Arabidopsis thaliana: one gene and its partner. The protein of the gene in region 2 interacts with the protein of the main gene of each other region in a pairwise test. Each region holds a gene or a part of one and is shown on either strand. Other genes may lie near its edges.

The links.
Region 1: the proteins of WIP2 (region 2) and WIT1 interact in a two-hybrid assay, tested with the Arabidopsis thaliana proteins (one study listed by BioGRID).

Annotation. Positions count from the first base shown.
Region 1 is NC_003076.8:3,631,996-3,637,714, reverse strand, and holds WIT1 (WPP domain-interacting protein 1), read right to left. Parts: upstream 4,067-5,719; 5' UTR 3,938-4,066; intron 3,757-3,937; 5' UTR 3,745-3,756; coding exon 3,147-3,744; intron 3,046-3,146; coding exon 1,856-3,045; intron 1,756-1,855; coding exon 1,576-1,755; intron 1,441-1,575; coding exon 1,297-1,440; 3' UTR 1,102-1,296; coding exon of another isoform or gene 791-1,101; 3' UTR 781-790; downstream 1-780. Other genes in the region: AT5G11400 (Protein kinase superfamily protein), read left to right, coding at 1-47, 150-288, 373-439, 593-702, 791-1,101; DXPS3 (1-deoxy-D-xylulose 5-phosphate synthase 3), read right to left, coding at 4,465-4,614, 4,693-4,977, 5,062-5,340, 5,430-5,686. UniProt on the Arabidopsis thaliana protein: Together with WIT2, required for the nuclear envelope docking of RANGAP proteins in root tips.
Region 2 is NC_003076.8:22,749,758-22,754,642, forward strand, and holds WIP2 (WPP domain interacting protein 2), read right to left. Parts: upstream 3,061-4,885; 5' UTR 2,607-3,060; coding exon 1,736-2,606; intron 1,562-1,735; coding exon 903-1,561; 3' UTR 705-902; downstream 1-704.

The DNA of each region.
Region 1 (5,719 bases), about 19 Mb from region 2:
TTTCTGTCATGGAATGTGATAGTTCACGCTCTTTACAAGACTGGATGGTAAGCAAAGTCTGTTCATTTTTACGCAATATTGATACCTATCTCTTATTCCTTGTTAGTCTTGTGTACTTATCTGATGGGTACAAAAACTATGAGTTGCAGGCAGTAGTGAGGTCTCTTGGACAGTTGTCTCATCAGAATTTGGTCAATTTCTTGGGTTACTGTTGTGAAGACAACAAACCATTCTTCTTGGTATTTGAATACTCGCACAAAGGAAGTTTGGACAGTCACATTTTCGGAAGTTAAGATCTTTTCTAGCTAATGGGTCCATTCTAAGATATAGACAACTATTGCATTACCTATAGTTTTACGTTTCCCTCAACAGAAGAAGAAGAGGCATTGCCATGGGAAATACGGGTTAAGATAGCCATTGGAACAGCTCAAGGTCTCGCGTTTCTTCACTCGATCAAGAACAGCCCCCTAAACCGAGAACTCAGGATGCATAACATTATGCTTGACGAGGTGGTAATTGTTTTATTTCCATCCTTCTTCTCTCTTTTTGTTTATGATCTTAGAAATTAATATCTAAGTTTGGATTTCATCAGCAATACAATGCAAAAACTGTTCTATCTCGAACCAACCAAACGAAGCTTGGTAGATGAAGGTCTCAAGAGGGGAAGATTTACATACCTATCTCCTGAATGGGGATCGTTAGGTACACGAAAGCATTAACTTTCGTTTTACAAATTCTGAAAAATCTTTCGTTGTTCAACGTTAAGACAATTGTGTAATGTATGTGTTAGGTATTTTGGATATGACGACCGATGTTTACATTTTTGGTATGATCTTGCTTGAACTTTTAATGGGTTCCAAGGATAGAAAAAAGATTAAGGAAGAGCAAGGCTTAGTAGATTACTGGACCTCATCTTTCTTGCCAGATAATTATAAGATTGAGGAAATAATCGATCCCCGACTTGGGAGCGATTATTCTGCGAATGCGGCGACACAGATGGGCACACTCATCAACCGATGCACAGCGCATAATACAAAGAAACGGCCATTGATGCAACAAGTATTGGATGGTCTTAATCATATTGCAGAGATTAAGGACTAATGTGTAGAGAGGTACTAATACTTGACACTGAAAAAGATATTGTAATAACACAAAATACCAGTGTCGGGGTTAATTATATAGCAGATTTTCTGTAACTGGGTAGCCAAAAAGAACTAAAATATAATCTGTCATTGTAAACTATGACAAAGAGAGTACAAAACTGGAGACTGAGATTTTGGAAAAAGTTAAAGACTCTTACATGTTTTGCTGGGATATAACATAAGCTATCGACGATATTAAGATCACGAGTATTGCAACGAGAATGTGTTTGAACCTAAGAGCTCCAACATCTAATCTCCTTACACTTCCAATATCTGATTTTGAACCTGTTTCTTCCTCCTACAAAAAGGTGACCACGGTTACTAACGTCAAGCTTAGATTCATAATATTCGATTGTTGGACTAAAGCTTAATGGTATAACTCACTTAGATGCCAGCAAAAGATCAGATTTTTTGTAAGGTAGAATTATGTTACCTCTGGATTAGTTAATGAAATGAAGGTGGCTTGAAGTCTACTTCCTTGATGGCAAGAAGAAGCATTCTGGTCCGACTTTGGTGAAACTTCACTTCCATTGCCACTTTCCATATAACCAGTTTTTCCAACCTTTTTCAACTTCACCATCAACACACAATTCTCTCTTGACAGGTTAGTTATCTGCAAATAAGTCACTATATCTAAGAATCCACTGTGATGATGATGAAGCTACAAGGACATGAACTAACAGCGAACTGGGGTTTTACGAATATGGTAATACCTGTTTATGAAGTCGTTCTCGTTCAGCAGCTAGTTGCATGACCAGTTTTTTCATGATCTTGTTATGTACCCCGATATCTTTGGCGGTTCGCAATTTTCTTTCTTCTGCTTGCTGTAAATATTTCTCCCCTTCTTTCAATCTACCCTTAAAGAATTTCAGTTCTTCGTTGACCTCTGCGTTAGACTCAGATACCATGATCAACTTCTCTTCGGTAATGTCGGCCCTGTTTTCAGCCTTCAAAACTTTTGATTTTAGATCCTCGATCACATCCTCCATATCAGAAACAGTAGAATATAACAAGTTCTGCTTTTCTTTACTTGCTTCAACAGCTGCAACTGCATGTTCTAGTTGTAGATCTGAGTCCCTCAAGTGTTTCTCAAGCGATGCTAACTTATGTATAGTGAAGCCCTTGTCTCTGAAATTCCCCAACTCGTCTTGAAGCTCCTTTTTGCTTTCTTCTAGGATTTTGCACTTGGATTCTGTTTCCTCAGCCCTTGCTTCAGTTTTGGCTAATTTATCTTTCAGTTCCTCGTTGATACGTTCAAGATCTGTTATCAGAGCACCAGAAGTAGCATCCGCATCTTCTGTTTGAATCCCATATTCATTCAGTTGTTCTTCAAGGGAGCTAACTTTCTCACTTAATGTGGAATTCTCAGTGTTCAACAAAATCAATTTTTCTTCAGCCTCTTGCAAACTCTCTTTTAAGCCTTCTGTTTGTGCCACAAGAAAGTCAGCAAGTCTTGCATTGCTGCTATCAAGCTTGTGCAAGGCGCATTCCTTAGCTTCTAAACGTTCCTTTGAATCAACAAGCTTAGACTTCAAGTTGTCTTCCCGCTTAAAAGAGCCACTTAGATTGAACTGAAGAATCTGGAGTTTTCCAGACATCTCCTTTGACGTTCCCTTAAAGACTTCAGCAGCATTATCTGCCTCAAGCCACCTGGAGAACGCATCTTCGGTTACTTCTTCCATGTAGACAACATCCTGCTCAGAAGAATACAGTTTCATCTCTAGTTCTCGTTCAGTATTTCTTGATTCACTTAGTTTCTTCTCAAGTTCCATCTCCTTAGCCAAAGATTTCTCAAGCATCCTTAAAACATTCCTTTGCTGATCAGCAGTCTGCATATTGATCTTAGCGCTCAGATCACCAAACTCACCATCGTTTTGAGACACTGAAGTTTGCCCTCCAGACCCTGCAAAAACAAAGTTATATAGTATTCATTAAAGCCTGAAATTTTTCTCACCAAGTGATCATCACAACAAGGTTAAAAAGAAAGCTAGATTGGTCACTTACAGCTTCCTTGTTCATCCAAACCAGAAGATAACCTCTGAAAGTTAGAAGATTGCTTCTTCATTTCCACTACTTGTTCCATTAACTGACCCAAAGATTGTTCAGTATCATTCAACTTCCCTTCCAAATCCAAGAAAGCTTCTCCATCATGTTGAAACGGAGATATCATGACACGGGCGCTTTGAATCTCGTTCTGGAGAAAACCAAGAAGCGATTCAAGTTCTTTCACCTCTGAATTGAGAATTGAAGACAAGAGATCAAACTCCAATGCCTTCTCAGCAGAATCATCATCATCATCAACATTACTCGAAGGCTCTTCTTCATCTTCTTCTTTCTTAGAAACAAAAGACTCAAAATCATTTTCCCTCGTGCCGAGTTGCATAGTAAGAAGACTAAGATTGACCAATTTCTCAGAGACAAAAGCAAAATCCAATTCAACTTTTGTCAAAACTTCGCCTGCACTTGAAAGTTGAGGATTCATAACTTGCCCAGTAAGCGAGAGATCTTCAAAAAAGCTTTCTTTCGTTGAGCTTGGCTCAGGTACAAGGCTGTCGTTGTCATCGACAGAGACAGTTCTATCATGTTCCGTTTCTGTTTCCATCTTTCAATATAACTGCAACAGAGAAAGTATAATCACTTTTGTCAAGTAATTGAATTAAGAGATCGGAAACAATAGAGGTTCTGCTAAATCACAAGAACTTTTCGATTCCTGAGGAAATCTAGGTAAAAGTTCCGATTTTTTACTTGATTCCGATCGAGATTGAAGCAAAATGAATGAAAAGGAGAAAACTTACAGTTAGAAACGAACGACACGACGATTAAGATCAAAGACGCTTCCTTTAGAAGGAAATGATCGAGAGATACAGAGATCGAGAAGAAGAAGAAGAAGAAGGACTCGGATTTGTAATTAAACGAATATTGTTTGACAGTAACTCTTTACTAATTTTTTAAGATGCTTTTATTAAAAAAAAACTCGAGTATCGAAAATACACGTCTCTGTTCTATATTTTGTTTGTTTCCAGATTTGGGACATGCGACTGTTACACCAAATAGACTTGACAACAACAACAACAACAACAACAACAACAACAACAACAACAACAACTAACTGAGAATATGAAAACTGAGATACCGCCTAAAAAGTAATTGAATTTATTTTAGTCAATTCTCAACTCTACATTTACAATACATAGCAGATTGCTATTCCAAAATCAGGATATCAAATGGGCTCTTGAATTCAGAATGTATTATCTACAAATTCTGTTTAAGAAACTCCTCTTTAAGTCTCTTGTGAAGGTAAATCCCATATGAGAAGGTTAAGCTAGCTCATGAGAAGCAATGCTTCACGAGTTCGGCCCAAAAGACTCAAAGCGGTTGCTGCTATGTGATGTCCAGTTAGCCCTGCAAGAGCAAGCTGCTCCCTAGGCGATGCTTCTTCTATGTAGCCATCCGGTAACACAATGGGTCTCCACTACACAATGTTAAGAGCAAAATTACAACTTAAAACCAAAAACAGGTGAGAACATGAGGTTTTGATTTGTCTCTCTACCTTGATATTCCCATCGAGCTGGCCATCGAGGGCTATGAACTGCGCCACATGAGAACCAAACCCTCCAACACAGCCTTCTTCGACAGTGATAAGGAATTTGTGGTTCTGACAAAGATCACGCACAAGCTTGATGTCTAGGGGTTTGCAAAATCTTGCATCAGCTACAGTCACGTTCAAACCGAGTTTCGAGAGAAGCGAGTGAGCATGAAGACAATTCTGAACCATCGCTCCATAACCAAGTAAAGCCACATCTTGACCTTCTACGAGAACTCTTCCTCTTCCGATCTACTCTAATATGATAAAGCAGTTCTTGTGTCACCACGGTCTGTTTTTGCAACCAAAAGATTTGAAGATTAGATTGGAACTTACTTCAATTGGTAATCCAGTGGGGACAAGATAATTCATGTTGACGATGGAGCCTCTAGGGAACCGGAAACATACTGGGCGGTCAGTGACATAAGCAGCAGTTGCAACCATATTTACAAGCTCATCCTCATCGGCTGGAGCCATGGCTATCATGTTTGGTAAGGATGACATGAAAGCTATGTCAAAAGCTCCACACTGCACTGGACCATCGGATCCAACAAGCCCTGCGCTTGTAATAACAAATCGCACCGCCTTTCTCTGCCGATCTACATCATGGACCACCTAAAGAAACCATCAAAGACACTAAGGCCATTTGCTTGTAATAAAAACCTTTTAGAACAATTTTATTTTGTGCTAGAGGAAAGTGAAACCTGGTCATAAGCTCTTTGTAAAAAAGCAGAGGGAATAATACAAAATGGCTTGAGACCTCCAGAAGAAAGACCAGCAGAGAATGTGACAGCATGCTGTTCAGCCATTCCGACATTGAAAAATCTGTCTGGAAATCTCTCCTGAAATGTAAGAAGTGACGGATCCATCTCCATTCCTGCATGAACTACAACAATATCTCTATCCTTTTCTGCCTCCATCACCAAAGCCTCAACAAAGCAATCACTGTAAGTGCGTCTGTCTGAGACAAAAAAAAAAACTACAAAGTCAAGAT
Region 2 (4,885 bases):
GAATAGTGGATCTCCAAGCAAGACCATATACAAATTTAACTTCCACTAAGAAATGATATGATCTATTATAGTTCAAGTTGTTGTTAGTGTGGTATTTTTTTACAATTTCTTAGCATATGTTACATACCCCAAATTTGAGTTTTGAAACACACCAAATTTGAAAGAAAGAATCAAATCTCTCTTCATTACACTAAGAAAAGAGACCAAACTATGGTAGGTCCAAATTTGTAAAATGATTTGGATATAAATCCAAAGATCATCACATTAAGACACCTATGAGTGAGTCTAAGATGAATAATAACTTCTTCTTTTTTTTAAGTATATTTGATCAAATTGATTATTGGTTTGCAAATCTAAAACTCTTCAAGACGTGGGCATTGTTAAGTGTTGTTGGAACAAACCAACATTAAGATGGCTGTTTATAGTCAAATTGTCAAAAGTCTCCACTTGCAGCTAATGACATAAGACCACTTCTATGTGTCATCACAAACAACACACCACACAATATATTCACACAACTATATTGAATTCTTCTTATTTATAAACTCTAAAGAGCTTACAATGAATATATATTAAGACCGACTCAAATTATTTAAAGGTTATGTGCAAATTTTCATTGTACATGTGAATATCTAAACTTTTTTCACTTGTGTGTTTATATATCTTATCTTCTGTATTTCATTATTTCTTATTTACTAAAGAAATTATGGAAAATGATGGCAAAGTTGACAAAGAGGCAACAATTTTATACATACACACTGACGTCATGACAATGCAGCACGCAGAAACACAAAGTAGAAAGCAAAGAAGAGTTGGGTCTATTGGAGCCAAAATGTTACAATATATATAAATACAAAACTTGTATAAATATAGATAAAAACAGATTCCATCAAACAAAACTATCATGTGGGAACAGCAATCTCCGGTTCTGGTAACAGAGAATAATACAGTATAAAGAGCAAGCCTAACTGTAGAAGAAGACATCTAGTGGTCTTAAATGCTCTCTTCTTCAGGCACTCCACTTCTTGAATCTCTGTGATCTCTACACAATGGTTTTGTAAATCTTGAGCTTGATTCTTTAGATTCTCAGCTTTTGTTTCTGCTTTATCAAGCTTTGATAGCCCCAATGTCTTCTCTTCTTCAATCAGTTTGATCCGTCTCTTTAGGTTTCCCACTGATCTTGAGAATATGATATATTCAATCTCTGCCTCCACCTTTTGCTGGAAGATGTCTTCTATCCCGATCTCTGTTCCTCCGTTACACGTCTCTGAAACGTTTATGGTAGATTCGAGTTCACGGATTTGTGTTTCTTTAACCTCGAGAATACGCTTTGCTTCTTCTAGTTTGATCTCCAGATGCTCTACATTGTTCACCAGGTTTAGTATCTCGGAATCTAGAGAAGTTAATTCCATTTCTCCCATCTTTTCAGACCCAAACCGGTAAGAAGAGCTTGCTTCACTAGCTCCTTCGTGTCCTGCGTGTATGCAACTGCTGCTTTCTCCTCCATCATGCAGTGATGTTATAGGTTCTTCTTTCCCAAGCTCTTGGAATTTTTGAAGTTCTGAAAAGGGAAAAAGAACAGGAGTTTAGTCAAACTCGAAACACAATCATGTTAATATTACACGGCATCATAAGGAACCAGTGTTAGAGTCATTCAAGTTTTAGTTGATTAGGACTACTACAATGCAGCAACAATCAAATTCCAAATGAAAATCTGTATTTATGAAATTGATACCTTTTTGGAGGGCTTCTTGCAAAGTCTGGAAACTGTTGACGGCTACTATTAATGGATCCAGATTGTCTGATGAACCATTGCTCTTGATTTGAGACTCTTCAACACAGTCTCCTTGTGAATAGTCTTCTGTTTCTTCTTCTTCTTCTTCCACGTTATCCTTTCTCTTCGAAGTATGTGCGTCATGATCACTATTTTCATCGTCATAATCCATCATTCTTCTTCCGCCTTGTTCTCTGCTACTCAAACTATAGGAAGCACCCTGCATAAACACAAAGTTGGAGCTTCTTGAGTCAGCAGATTCCATGCTGGAATGAGAGTTTTCCTTCTCAATTTTGATCCTTTCTCCTCTAAGTTTATTACTCTTCTCTACACTACTCTTCCTTTGTTGACTACTATCCCCCGAACTAATCACACTCTTCCCACCCGAGACCTTTCCTCTATGTTTGTCCCAAGAATGACTCATTGTACTACTCCGATCCTCACTGTTATCCGAATCAACACCAGCTGCAAAAGCAAGACCATTGCCATAACTCTCCCCACCCATTACAAAACCAACCACACTATTCACCGAGCCAACAGAACCAACACTATCTTGTCTAACTTCAGGTCCTGGCAAATGCATTTGTTTAGCATTCGGATCAACTAATCCTGACAACACCCTCTTCAGAGCTTTACTATTCTCCATACTCACAGAAGTATCATCCTTAACAAGATCTCTCCTTAACCTCCTCTTCCATTTTCTTAAACCAAATCCTTTTGATATAAGAGGAGAAGTCTCAACCGGTGAATTCAACTCTTTATCAAGATCACCAATCAAACCATTATTATCTTCAACAGATTCAAGAACAGAGCTTTCACTCTCCAAATCCATGACGACGCCACAAAAATACTAACTTTTCACATGGGATCAATCTCAAGACTAAACAACCACCATTCCAGTAAGAACCAGAGGCAAATTCAATAAAACCAAAATACGAAAACAAAAATGAAGCAATAGGGTTCTCTAAATTCAACTCAATTCCCAGATTAATCACATTTACGAAAGCCAATGAATCGAAAGTTTCGAGCTTGACGTACCTAATAAAATGGAACGCAAAACCACTCAAAGGTGAATCCTTTACGAAGAGACCGAAACGAAATTAGAAGACGATTTAAACGATTCGCAGAGATCTCTCTCTATATCCGTTGATTGTGGAAAGTTTCGTTGCGAAAAATCGTTTTTTTTTTCCCGGTTACGATCAAAAAACATTTTGATTCGTTTCCTTTTTTTTGTAATAGAGAAATACGAACGTGTGAGCGACATGGTCGGGACACGTGGCGAAACCGCTGGATACTTCAGCAACTACTCGGATATTTTATGACCGTTCGATTCGACGTGATCTTATCTGGTCGGATCTGGAATTCAACGGTGTGTGATATACCGTTAGGACTTTAATATGATCTCGACTATTTTACTAATTTACCCTCGTCTTTCTAACTTCTTCAGTTTTGACGTTTACATCTTTTCTATATACAGTGGTTGCCGTTTTTAGGTATGGAAACAACGAGACTTATCCTTGAGCGTTTGATAAACGCTTCCACATCGTTTGATAACGAGACTTTTCTACATACAGTATCAATCTTGTTTTGTTCATACGTCACACACTCCAAGATTTTGATGGTAAATTTTTTGTTTTTGTGTGTGTGTGTGTGTAATGTGTATGTTTTTAAAGTCCCTTATGATTGTAGATAAATGTGAAAATGTGTGGGGTAAATAAATAAAAAGTCACAAGTGGACTGGTCTTGGACCAATTCCCACTGTGAAATCAGATTTCAAATGTTGTGTCAGTGTACACATACATACATGCACCACCTTGAATTAAAAAAAAAAGATAATTACTCGATTATGAGGAGTTTATCTTACAAATTACAATATACTAAAATGTTATTGATAAGAAAAATTGTCAAATACTACTAGGTTACTACTTATGTTATGTTAGTACTATTGTTAGAAATTTAGTTCATAATCACATAGTGGAAGGAATTTCACTTACTTAGAACCCAAAATATGTTTTACGTAAAATATTCTCTTGACATTTTTCTCCTATTAATTGCAGCAATGATAGTATTATATGATTCAATACTCAATATAGTACAATGTTTGGAGTTTTCTATAGACCACAAAATACAAACAGTAAATGACAAACAACCAAAGTACTAAGAAAATTGAAAATGGTTCCCTTTCTTCAATCCTACAACCTCTTTTAAGCTCAAAGTTCAATGTCTTAAATCTGACTCTTGTCTATTTAACTCTCTTAAATCCAATGTAACCCATGTTATATTTATACTTCTCTAATAACTCGATCTTAAATAAAAACTGGAGTCTTCTTGGTAAACTAAAGAAGAAAAAAAAACTCATTAAAAATTTCCAGAAAATGCAGAGGAGGTTGAGAGAAGAGAGAGAGGAGAGCTAAAAACAAATGACATAAAGGAGAATCCAAGATTATAAATTTAAGTTAATTATAAAATGGTTTTTGATTAAGTGGGTGATCATTATAAAATGACATTGGTACATGTTTAGACATTAACCATCTCCAGGCTGCTTCTCTCTTAACCATTTCTTTAATCACTATTTTAAAAACAAATTAATGTCCATAAGCACTTTCAGATCCAACTCACAACTCCAGATTCTTCTCCCTCTTCATTATCACAATCTTCTGCTCTTCCTCAAAAAGAAACACAGAGAGAAAGATAGACGAGAGAGACAGGCTTGGTAATGAAAAGATATGCAGGGGAAGTGACACGTCTTTTTTTGCCTTGTGTCTGAAAAAGATCAAACAAAAGGGTAAGTCTTTAAGAAATCATCTTTAAAGATTTGACTAATATGTTGCTTTTTCATTGTTGGTCCTAGCTAGAGAGTAAAAAGATTCAATCTTGTTAATGATGATGAACATTAGACCACAAACTCAATGTAAAGCAATGATTTTTCTTCTGACCCGTGACCTCTCCATTGTTGCAGAGACTCTCTGAAACTGGCTTGGTGTTGTTGGTCAAATCTGAAGTAAGAGGAGGAGGAGAAATTAAATAAAGAAAAGAAGAAAACACAAATTGGGTTTCAACAGTGTTGTAGAAGAGGGACCCCACAAAATGGAAGAGTTAGATACATCACAT